3 linked regions of the Caenorhabditis elegans genome follow. The protein of the gene in region 3 interacts with the protein of the main gene of each other region in a pairwise test. Each region holds a gene or a part of one and is shown on either strand. Other genes may lie near its edges.

Region 1 (4,841 bases), on a different chromosome or scaffold from region 3:
TACATAATATTGCAAAATTGTTTTTAGCTTTTCTGAAAAAAATATATTTATGCTATCATTTGTTACTTTTTTCCAGCTTTAGTTTATTTTTTTAAATCTCTATTTTTAAATGAAAAAAATCAAGATCTTCCAAATATTAAGAAAAATGTTCCCATTGAATTTCAGTTTCTCAAGTAACGATTACTTTGTTTCCCATGCCCTTGCTCTTTTCATTCCTTTTTTCCCATTTCCTTCTCATTTTTCCTCCGTTTTTTTGCCTTTCTTGTTCTTTTTCTTATTTCTATAGCTAATTACACTCTTCCCTCTTTTTTTTCATGCTTATTTCTTGACATCGTCTCCAGAGACTTTGTTCTTTCCTTCTCATTTTCGGTTTTTTGATGGATGAGAAGCCTACAAACTTTCGAATTTTCTTCCTATCATTTTTTGTCCTTCTGTCTGTCAATTTTCCTTGCACCCCTGCTTTTCCTCACTTCCCCCTTTTCCCCATTTTTTGACGAAAATGGCAAAACGCCAAATTTTTTTTAGGAGATATGGCGAACGAAACGCATTGGGAATGCATTTTCCACCTGCACTTTGTCTCGATTCTTTTATAAATTTTTGAATGCTTTTCAAGTTTTTTATTGCATTTTTTAATCATTTTTAATGAAGTTTTGAGGTTAGGTAATTAAAAAGTTCCAAAAAAAATTATGATGAGCTGAAAATGTTAAACATAAATTTTTAAAACAACTATAGTTCAAAATATCAGCTTAAGTAAAAATAGTAGAACAAATCCCGAAAGTGCATAATATTTTACAAACACGTGAATAAAGGGGATTTGTAGTATAATGTAATTCCTTGGAGAAAAAAAACGAAAAAAAGGGAAAGAGCGTCCGAAAAACAGAAAATCGACATTTATAGAGTGATGTACGGAGTTCTTCCGCCCTGAATGTTTGCATCGTCTATTTTTATTTATGCTCCATTTTTTTTTCAGACAGAAATTTGAGAAAAAAACAAAGTTTTGAATAAAACCTTTTTAACAAATTGCAATCCATAAACTATGTTCACAAAAACGACCGGAAAAGGAGTAGATACATACAAAAAACATATATATTTTTGTGCAGTTTTTTGGGAAGTTTTTGTTGTTTTTGTGTCTCCCTTCCAAATATTCTTCCTTGTATGCTTGTCCAAACGTGAAACTGCTCTTTTTATTCTCCTTTTTGAGCATCTAGAAAATTAATGAAATTTTCTTAAGGGTGGATGTGCCAAGAATATATTTTTCTTTTTGCCCTTACTTAGCCTCATCAATCATCACCTCTATTTCTTATTTTTGCTTTTGTCAATACTGAAGAAATATTGTTAATAATAATTCTTGAATTCTGAGTTGACTCACACTTATTAAGTACATTTCAATTGAAGAAATATAATTTTCAGAGTTGAATTTCAACTTAGGTGAGGATTGTCTGCATATTTTTATTGTTTTTTGTCCAAGGTTTTGTAAAATTTCGATAATAATTTTTTAAAACTATGTGCAGTCTCTATTAGTTTTTGCGCAAGAGATAGACCGTAGTTTTATTGCGAAAAATATTTGAAAATACATTTCGATGATTTCAAAAAATCGATGAGAATTAAAATTGATCCACAAATCTAAAATTCTTGAATCTATAATAAGATGGAAAAAGAGCATCCACTTATGGCAATCCAATTGTTTTTTTTGTTTCGTGCTTTTTCACTTTTCATCTCTCTCTCTTGTCATATTCTTTTCTATTTCTTCTCTTCCATCTCTCTTCCATTTTTACTCAATTCGGACCCACAAACAAGGAGACGCTTCTCCTTCAAGTGAGAAGACGAACACACAACAAACATGCCGTGTTTGCAGTTGATTCGTCGTCGAAAAAAGAAAAAGAAGAAGGAGCAACTTGTGCAGATAGTTGAAAAAGGAGAAAATGAAGACGAGAGAATAATGATGAAAGGAGGAAAGAATGAGGAAGATCACGAGAATGAAGAAGATGATGACAATGTGGAAAGTTCCTTAATTGGGTGTTCCCCATTAACAAGAAGGCGAAGAAAATCTGCAGCAGTTGGTAAGTCTAGGATTTTGGATTCAGGTTTTGCGAGACTTTAAAATTTCAAACTACAAGTAGGGCACATTAGTGATGTTCGGCTGAATTTGATATATTTTCTGAACATTTTTAAAGTGTGTGAAACTGCTAGGAGATTTTGATCCTTTCAGGGTTTCAAAAATTGCATAATTTTTCAAGAAAAACAATTATCGTATCGAATTCAATTTTCCAGGAAAACTGGTAATTACAGTTTAAAAAAACGATATTTGAAAGAGAAGCTTTTCAACAACATGTGTTACTAATTGAATAGAAATGTATATATTTTTAAAAGTAAAGCATATAGTATGAAAACACACAAACTATTGTCTTCCAACTTTTCTTTAAAAAGCATTCAAGTTTTGTTTTTACAAGTTTATTACACTCTACTGTATGCGGTTATACCTTTGTGTTCAACCATTGTAAACAGTCATACATAAAAAACAAAAATTCAAATATCTTCCCAGGAGTGTGATATTAGCGTTCAGTAGGCAATAAAAAGCAATAAACATCTCTCTCAATTACTTCAAGAAATCTTTTTCCGGTCGCCAATAACCGTGTTGTCTGCTGATTCGGCAGTAGGGGCGGCGATAGGTTGCAACAGGCCGACCTTACCCAACTGTGAGCTACATTTGTAGCGACCTCAATGAATACAATGTCGGCCTCGAAAGAAAATTTGAGTCAGGAGGTCATGCTAATATAATTTTCATTTTCAAAATTATGATTGGATTGCTAATGAAGCTGTTGTGAAATAGGCAGGTCGATCTGTTGCGACCCATCACCATCCCTATTTGGCAACTCGCCGCACACCTCTGTAATACAACGTGTTCACTTTTAATCTCAAATTGACTTTTATCTTCAAGATTGACCATTTTCTTCATAAAATGGCCAACCAAGTTCTCAAAAAATATTTTTTTTTAATTCGAAGTATAAAAACTTCTAAATAATTAGTTTTGAACCAAGTTTAAGAAGGAGTGATTCTAGTGGGGATTTTGTGCACTTATAATCTTTCAATTAGTTTTCCAAATGTGGAATATTTTATGACAAAAATTACTCAAAGATATATTCAAGTAATTCCATGGAAAGCCTGGAAATTCCAAAAATTCTTGTGTATCTGACAGTTGAATAGAACATCAAAACGGGCCTTGTTTTGGAAATAAAGAATGTTAATTCTGGAAATTTCCATAAAATGACACCTTCTTTGCGATGGCTTTCTCTTTTTTCAGCTAAGAATTAACCCATTTTTCGATAATTTTATTAATTGACCTTAAAAACTATAATAATTAAAGTAATGCAATTTCCAAAATGTTGTACACTCCAATTTGTTAATTTTGGCATCATAAGAGTAGTTTTTAACAACTTCCCAATTGATATCGATGCTACTTTACTTTTAAAATCCATTTCAGAGTTTTTTATAGATCAGGTTTACAATAAATCACATTTAATATTTTCAAGAATTTTCTGGTAATGATTTTGAGTAAGTTCTTGCACAGTTTTTTTGCAAATAAAAAACCTAAAACAAGATATATGAATAAATAATAAAATACAATTATGCTATTAATCTGAAAAATAAGATGGTTATTTTTGAATCATCAACATAATGATAGTCTAAAAGAACTCAAAAACCACTGAAGCACATCTTCAGCATTTCCTTAAAATTACCCCCCACATCCTCTGACCATCTGCGTCTGAAATCTAAAAGCAAATTAGTATGCTCTACTCCATAACAAGAAGATGTTACACATTCTTCGTCACATCCCTCCATTTTTATCAACTTTATGTGACGGAATGTCTTGAAAATGTTATTTTTAATGTTTTGGTGAATGGTCAGAGCATCAATTCTAGATGGAAAGATGCAGAGAAAACAATCACATCCTTCCCCTTCCATTTTCCCCAAACATTTTTTCAACAACCCCATATTTTGACTCTCCATTTTCTATTTTTCGTGTTTGTCTCTGTCACTTTAGTTACAGTTTTTAAGAAACCGTTTGATATTGAATATTTTAGGATTTCTTGAGTTTAGTTTCCAATTATTCATAAAATTTTCCCACGTTTTCCGATTGAAAGAAAAAATTAAACAACTGAAAGCTTTTGTCTTTATATTAGAGTTTTGACAATAAGAAAATTGATGAAAACCTGTAGAAATGCTCAAAACTACTAAAAATCCACAGTTTTTGGAAATTTGGCAATTTACCAAAACTTTGATTGAAAATTATAAGAAATCTAAACTTGAGATTTGTTTTTCATGATATTCGGTCATTTTGGACTATTTTAAATGGATTTCTATATGTGCTCTAGACTGAGCCACCACTGACCTTTAAGTCAATTTTTAAAAGAGAATATTAGTTAAAAGTCTAAAAAATGTAGAGAGAAATGGATAAAAATTAGGAGCTTATTTTCAATTCTTACTCCCTCCCGTAATTTTAAATGTAAATTTGAATAATCCCAATTTAAGAATGCCTTTATTTAGAACGTTCAAAACTTTTTTTCCTTCCAAAAATGTTTAGAATGGCACACTGGGGAAAATGCAAATAGAAAATTACTACATACCGTACGAAAGTGTACTAGAGTCAACCCATATTATATATATATATAGTGGATATGGAACCTTTTCTGAGTAATTGAAACTCTGCTTTCACTAATTTTAACTGAATATCAGTTGATTATTTCTATTTCAGAAAATGCGAATTTCCACACTCGCTCGCATATTTGTGGTATTTCGTCGAAGGAAACGGCGAAAAATTCGACGAGAGCCCACTTTTCTCT
Region 2 (3,545 bases), 9.8 Mb from region 3:
CTTTTAATTTTAGTCCAGTCTTTACAAAAGGGAGGACAGCCTATTGCTCTAAACTATGTAATATGTTTCTTCCGTTTAATACATGAATTTTTTCAAATACGAGGTGTCCCTCAAAAACAACTTCTGGGTAGAGTAAAACTGACACAATATTTGTTATCAAATGTTATTACAGTGGGAGTACCAATTATGAGTTTTCCCCCATGAAAACGTTTTGAAAGATTTGTGAGAAGTTTGATTACGAAATTCGTTAATTTTAGCACACTTTGAGCAACATATACGTTCAAATTTACGTTCGAAATACCAAGAACCATTACTCTTCCACTGTAAAATCGAACACCTCTGTAGTGTCCCGAATAAAAACAAGAGCTCCAGTTTTTGCATGTGCTCTTGTTTTGCTTTGTGCTCGCTATCAGTCATAAGGCATCATACCATGTAGTTTCTAGTTGTGTGATATAGGCCCACGGAAAGTTTGTTTTTGTGCATACAACTTATTATTGTGTAATGAAAACTACGAACCAATTTATTGTAACTTCACAACAGATCGTATTCGGTGCACAACTCGGAAATGAAACGAGAGATTCTCTGCATACAAATGTATAAACAAAACGTTTTGTTCAGATAATTGGGAAGAGATAGTGAGAAAAAAGGAAACTATCAATAAATAAAAAAGAAGAAAAAAAATCAGATCCAAACTAGTTGGTCGTGGTCAAATTGCATAGGAAGATAAAACGCTTAAGTGAGAGGAGGGGGGAGAGTAAAGCAGATGAGGAAAGATGTATGAGAAATAAATACTTGAAAACATAAATATATAGTGAAAATGGACAGACAAAGTGAAAATTACTGGATGGGTTGAGGGCGGGAAGAAATGACTTTTAGGAATTTATGGAATGTTGGATTGGTTGACCTGTGGGCTCCACGCCGGATCTCCAGCGGCCATCATATTACTGCGGTCCGCCTTTTTGCCCAACGCCATGAATCCGTAAATAACACCCGAGGCGAAGATGGTTCCACTACCAAGGATAGTGTTGAGCTCGATGCACAGGAAGATTGGAATGAGTCCCATGCTGAAAATTGGTATTGTTACAAGGAAGTCAAGAAAGTATTAAACATTGTTGTTTGTGCCCCGCTACACGCCAAGAGAGTATGCTAATTTGTCTTCTAAGCCGACGCGATGTGCACTTGAAAAATGTGCCTCTTGTCACAAGACATCAAAATTTAAGGTTCTTCGGAATATTTTACTACATATTCTTTCATTATGGTCTAGGTCTATGAAATTTGAGAAGAGAAATCATGCGAATAATTTTTCAATTAATACTATCTTAATACTAATCTTATCAAATAGTTTTTTGAAAAAATCATAATTTGAATGACCTAGTAGAACTGTTCTCTCTATCTATCAAAAAAAAAGAGCTGTCACTCACGCTCCGTAGATAGCAGCCTTGTGCCAGAGAGCACGCGATTCGCTGAAACGGGCAATCTTCTCGATGAAGTCGACGAATTGGCAGCAGAATGGGGCCTCCAGCGCAATGACTAATGCTCCAGCTGTCCTGAAAAAATTACAGTTAAAAGGTTTACAGTTGATTCAGTTGTTTTTTCCTTACATTTGAAGAAGAATGGCCACCATGCATGTCGCCGAGAGAGTGATCAGGCCGAGGACTCCGAAGAATAGGGAGAGGAAACCTCCGAGGATGGCGACTCCTTTTGCCAGGAAGCGAACCCACCTGCAACGAATTATGAAATCATTTCTCGTTTTTTTTTCTTGGGAAATAATAGGCTGACTCACCATGGAAACGCGGCATTCGGATCGTGTTCCGCTTGCATTTGCGTGCTAACTCCAGACGCGGCAGCCCCCATGTCGACAGAGAACAATTACCTGCAACGTGAAAATGTGCTTATTGATTTTTCAATAGTAACTTTGAGAAAACCGTTGAGAATTGCTATTTTCACGCGATAAGCTTTGGATTTTTAATCAATAATAAGTTTCCCTTCTTGGACTAATCATATGATAACTGAAAAGGAAGTGAAACAGAAGCGGGAGCAAGAAAAGATAAATGAAATCAGAGAGGAGGTGGCAAAGTGCGGGCTCACCCGCTCTTGCATGCGGCCGAAATGACACGGAGAGCGGGAGACGCGCAGAAAACCAACGCAGCAATGAACCGTTAAACAGCACGCGGGCCGGAATAACGGACTCTCGTTGCATCTTTCATGTGATTAATTGTTTTCCCCAGTGACTTTGGCTGTTTTAATTGTTCCTTATTGAATACTTCGAGTTTTATTTTTTAATTTTCACATGAATTTATGGTTTTCAGTAATGAATTACAAAAACTTTTGGTTTAATATTGATTTTTACAGAGTCAAACAATGGGAGAAACGGGACCAACCAATAATACAAGTTTCAGTTCGCTTGATGATAATTGGTAAGTTATTTTCGTTACAGGTTGAGCATATTTTATGGAAATTCTTACAGGGAAACTGATGTTAATGTGCTGAGCAGTGAGCTCGGTGATTTGGACACTGAAGGAAATGATAAATCAGATTGGATGGTGAGTTTTTATTTTTTATTTTTTTCCCTGATTTTTGATAATTTGAACATTTTCAGCGCCTACTCGGAGTCTCGATGAAACCAAATCCATTGGATGACTGGGATCAGCTGTACAATTTGAATAATCAGTGCGCATTGCGAAATGATTGCCGGAAACTTGCCAACGGTTTGAAGAACAAGAGAAGTGTTCCCGAGTTGGAGTCATTTTTGACACTTTATTGCAAAAAGAGGGGGATGGATTATATCAAGGATATCGGATGGTTGACGGTGAGTTTCTTTTTTTCAAATTGCAAGAAGCAATCATTTTATAGAAGTTAAAATTATATTTCCAGATCCTCGAAAAGATCCTTCTTCTCAATGTTCCTGCCGCCCACGAGTTCAATGTTTTCTTTGCATTCACCACGAAATATATTCCTAAAGACACCCGACCAGATGCTCAGATTTTTGATTTATTCCGATTGCTATTACAGTACCATGATCCTCAGATTAGGTTGGATGATCGTAAAATCAAGCTACATAGCGAGAACTTCAAAAAAAAAAAATTAGCAAATCCCTAGGTTTTTCTTTTTAGTGATAAAATATATGCTTAAAAATGACAGGTTGCTGAGCAGAAACTTTTTGCGCGGAGCCCCCCTGAGGGTTTCATGCTTGAAACATGTATTATATGGAAACGGTTGTGCAAATTATTTAGTGAAAGCAAATTCAAACGGCTCAGGTTTTAGATTTTATAAATATAAGAAAATATTTTTAGTAACCATTTGGAATCACTTCACTGCTCGCCTTCAATGTACACGAAAAACTGGTTCGCAACTTTATTCTCCAGCAGTATGTCCACAGAATCGTGCCATGAACTTTGGAAGTTATATATTGAGCAGGTAGGAACTGTCCATAAAGTTTCTGAAACAAAAAAAAATTTTCAGGGTGATCCATTCCTTGTGTTCCATCTTGCCATTGTCTTCCTCATCAATGCAAAAGATGAAATTCTGCAAGTGAAACGAGATGA
Region 3 (4,064 bases):
ACCACTACAACAGTCTTCTACTCCACAACAACGCCTAAAAACACCGTGAGTTTTTCTTCACGCCAATTATATTTTGTGTCGTCTGCATTTCGTTTACCCATTTCAGAATCTCCTTGGCTCAACGTATGAGTAAAATGAGCATCAACCACTGACTTGATTTATTCATTTTTCTTCACAATTTGGTTTTCATATTTGGTTCAGTTCCCCTCATTATCCCATCCCATTGTTTAATTGCCTAATTTTTATCTCTCTGCTTGTATATTTTTTCAATGGTTCAAGGTGGTAATATGATCATATTTCCTTTTGAAAAATTAATAGAGTTTACAGAGCGTCGACTACAACAACAGCGAGTCGTAGTGGTTCGAGAACATCTTCCAGAGCTTGTCCGCGTGACGATTCCCGCGACTCCCGTCTCTCTCAAGCCAAAAACAACAGTCGTAATAATTCTCGCTCTCGTATTTTCTGATTTTCAAATTCTGTATACTTCTGTTTTTTTTTAAACTTTTTTGAATACTTTAACATATAAAAATGCACTTTTCCTGTAAAGCTGTTTGTCTCAAAAAATTCATTTAAAACTTAAAAATAAAATCATGGGTACCGATATAATGGGTGAGCACGAACTTGCAAAAATACTTTGGAGAAATGGATTCACGATTTGGAAGCAACGGTATGTTGAAAGAACCGTAATAAATGACTGGTGACTGAGTATTTTGTGAATAAATTATGTTGAAAGTCTAAAGATCGGTATGTGAAGCATGAGATGTAGATTCTTGGGAGACGGAAGTTGTTTCCTGTGTGATTGTGGAAGAAGGCGATTCTGGCTCGATGGGTTTCAGAAGAAAGATCGCGTCAGGAAGGTAGTAAGCAGACTGAAATATTTTGATGTTTGAAAAAATTTTCAAATCAAACTTCCACCCACATTGTTCATATCTCCTTCGCAAAGATACGGCAATCTTGTCCATCTGAGCACCTCAAAATTTGCCGGTTTGAAAACATTGACGATCATATGATGAACATGGTCGGCGTAGGTACGACCAGCAACGTTCAGGTAGTTGTCAGGTCGGGTGCTTCGTCCATTTGGATTGAATTCCACGTAATGGCTGACTGGAAGCACAAGCGACACGATGACATTACAGTTTGAGCGGCGAGCGACGTTCCACAAGTCGTTCAACAGCTTTCCTGGCGAGTAATGGCTGAAATTTGCAGCTTTCATTGAATAATCTGAGTTTCTGTTCACTTACCGATCGAGGAGGTTGAAAGCGGTGACCAAATCAAATTTAACATCAGTTTCAGCCCACTCGAGTGCACTGAGAACATTGTATCCCTTCCAGCTGAGCCGGTTTCTCATCTTCTGCAAAAAAACTTTGTTTGTAGTAATCTTGCAGGAGGAGTAACGTTTCCGTTTTTGCAAAAAAATTTAAATTTCATAGTGGGAATTTCAAAACAGCCGGCTTGGCGTTTTTCAAATATTTGGATACATTCGTTGTCCTAGGTAATTCAAACTGGGATAACTGCTTGACATTAAGCCAAAAACGCAGAAAAGAAACGCAGAAAACGTTTTCAAAGCATTATGTCATCATAAAATGTTTTACAGTATTCAAAGCCTTTTTTTTTAATTTCAAGTTCTTACCGATGACAACTCTGTAGCATAAACATGCTCAAAGAATGGGCGCATGTGCTCTGTAATGTCTCCGTTGCCAGCTCCAAGATCGAGCACCTGAAATATATAATTGCGGGTTGGTGAAACAATTTCCCATAAATACCTTTTTGTCGGTAGAATTCCAAGATTCTTTCTCGATTGCGAGAAACTTGGCGAACTGATTTTCACTGAAAAGGAACATGTTTCCGAATCCGGTCATTCCATTGATATCAGTTTTCGAATAGATTGTCGACAAAATCATGACCCCAAGGTTGCGAACCGTCTGCCAAAAGAAATTGCTGGCAATTTTATTGGAGTTGTCAAGAAACTGCTGCGTTTCCCCATCTGGCAACGATGCGGCGAACAAGTTTTGTGCAACATCTGAGAGACTTGTCTGAAATTATTAATTTTCAAATTTTCAAAAAATTATCTGAATTAAAAAGAACAAACCTCTGGCTGATACCAATGCTGGGCTCTCAAGCCGTACGTCCGCTCCAGTTGAAATGACATTTTGGCAGTGAAAATCGATAACAATAAGAGGAAGAGAGGTGGTGTGTGGCGAAGACGGTTTGAATGGGGGAACGCTTTGCACTGTTGGCCCGGTGTGTGCAAACGCGCTCGATTCACAATAAGGAAAAAGATGGCGGGTTTGCCGCAGCGGGAACAGTGTGTTGAGAAATTAACTTACAGGTCTGAGTTGATGAGCGAGAAAATTGTTTTCGTCGTATCGAAATGAAGAAAAAAGTAGAATTTAACTAGTTTAAAGCCTGTTTTTAATAGCCACATTGCACTGTCCAAATGCAAAACATACCGTGCCAATTAATATATTTGAAATAAACACCGAATGGGACCCATCAATATGTGAAAAAGAGCCGTTGAAGGACAGAAAAAAGATGTATCAATGTTATCGATGACAAGTTTGAGATTTTCCACCACAACATCGTTGTGCCAAAATCGGGAGAAAGCTACTTGGAAACATTTTTAAAAAATCAGAAAAAAACAATATATTATATTTCCCTCCAAATTGTCTAGTTGTTCCACTATCAGTTTTGAAACCCACACTTTAACTTTTTGAAATCTTTCCAAAAAAAAACCATTTGTAATACCTTTCCACTTCTTCGCCACGTATTTGTCAGATGTAAAGCCATAATTTTTCACTGCAAAACTACAAGTGTGCACAAGTCCATGCAGAACTTGAAATGTATCCCAAATAGTCATTCCCGTAAGCTTCAATCATTTACGTCAAAGAGCCGGTTTTCTCATTTTTCTTCTCATTTGTAATTATGACTCTGAAGCCAATAATTTAGATATTTTTCCCGCTTCTCTGATTCGTGTTTAAGAGATGTTATTTTCAAAACTAAAATCATTATTATTCCCAACTCCTTATACGTGTTCATCAGTTATGCATAGAATATAGAATATCTGAGATCTTATGGGTTGAATCTCCTGAGAATTGAACGATAAAGTCACACCTCTACACTTTTGTTAAAGATTACCATTGTTATTGACTTTGAGTTTTCTTCTTTTCTCCTTTCTGATTCACTCCGGCTCAATCAACTTTTGGGAAGAATGCCCACGTTTCCCGAATTGGTTATGTCTGTTCACAATGACAGTAGATACCTGAACTACGAATTCAAAATGAATACAGTGTCTTGGTGTGTTCTAGGCCTGTCAGCATGCGTATTTCTCGGACTTATCTGTTTTATCAGAATGGCAATAATTTATTGTTCCCAACCTTCCATGGCTACCAAAGCTATCCATCCGCACGTATTTAAATCTATGGTTATTATGCAGTTGTCGGTAAGCTGGTTATATTTTTTCTTTGTTATCTGTTTTTTTTTTCAGCATTATATTTTCTTCATAACTGATAATTTGGCATTCCGCGTGCCTTCTACCGGATTTGTTACAGCTAGCTGTGCTGCCATGGAGCCTAATCACTACTTAAAAATTATTTACCTGTCACAAATGTGGGGAACCTATTGGTCAATGTTTTCCTCACTATTGTTTTCTATCATTCGAATGATTGTCTATGTAACTCCAACCAGACATGCAGAGGTAACAATTATCTAATTAGCCACACTGGCTCGTTTTGTAGAATTGCCGCGCACCCATGCTTGCACTCCCTTTCGCTCAAAAGCAACCATGATATGAGCCTTTGAAGTAGAGGGATACATGCGCAAATCTAATAGTGAAAATACCGTCAACATTATTAATAACGCCTTATTTTCAGTGGTCGTCTTACGTTTTTTACACATTCATTCCGTTGGCTTTCTTCTCACCATTTGGAATTACGTACTTTATGTATCCAGCAAAAGGCTATTGTAGACAATGGGGATCTCCTTTGGGCTTCGGGTCTGTCTTCATCTCCTACACCGAAACCTATGATGAAATACGACACGACATATTCTTCATCCCGTTGACTTTA

What was found.
Region 1: the proteins of metl-9 (region 3) and mctp-1 interact in a two-hybrid assay, tested with the Caenorhabditis elegans proteins (one large-scale study listed by BioGRID).
Region 2: the proteins of metl-9 (region 3) and flwr-1 interact in a two-hybrid assay, tested with the Caenorhabditis elegans proteins (one large-scale study listed by BioGRID).

Annotation. Positions count from the first base shown.
Region 1 is NC_003279.8:6,634,429-6,639,269, reverse strand, and holds the start of mctp-1 (C2 domain-containing protein), read left to right. Parts: upstream 1-1,840; coding exon 1,841-2,060; intron 2,061-4,754; exon of another isoform or gene 4,755-4,756; coding exon of another isoform or gene 4,757-4,841.
Region 2 is NC_003284.9:14,968,399-14,971,943, forward strand, and holds flwr-1 (Calcium channel flower), read right to left. Parts: upstream 1,874-3,545; 5' UTR 1,855-1,873; coding exon 1,784-1,854; intron 1,722-1,783; coding exon 1,602-1,721; intron 1,548-1,601; coding exon 1,422-1,547; intron 1,065-1,421; coding exon 881-1,064; 3' UTR 502-880; downstream 1-501. Other genes in the region: tbc-1 (TBC1 domain family member 23), read left to right, coding at 2,362-2,417, 2,468-2,543, 2,600-2,809, 2,875-3,032, 3,294-3,417, 3,463-3,545.
Region 3 is NC_003284.9:5,176,966-5,181,029, forward strand, and holds metl-9 (DREV methyltransferase), read right to left. Parts: upstream 2,186-4,064; 5' UTR 2,150-2,185; coding exon 2,090-2,149; intron 2,034-2,089; coding exon 1,764-2,033; intron 1,718-1,763; coding exon 1,631-1,717; intron 1,352-1,630; coding exon 1,242-1,351; intron 1,194-1,241; coding exon 920-1,193; intron 870-919; coding exon 735-869; 3' UTR 554-734; downstream 1-553. Other genes in the region: Zinc finger C2HC domain-containing protein zchc-1A, read left to right, coding at 1-45, 328-466; sru-48 (Serpentine Receptor, class T), read left to right, coding at 3,209-3,439, 3,485-3,694, 3,870-4,064.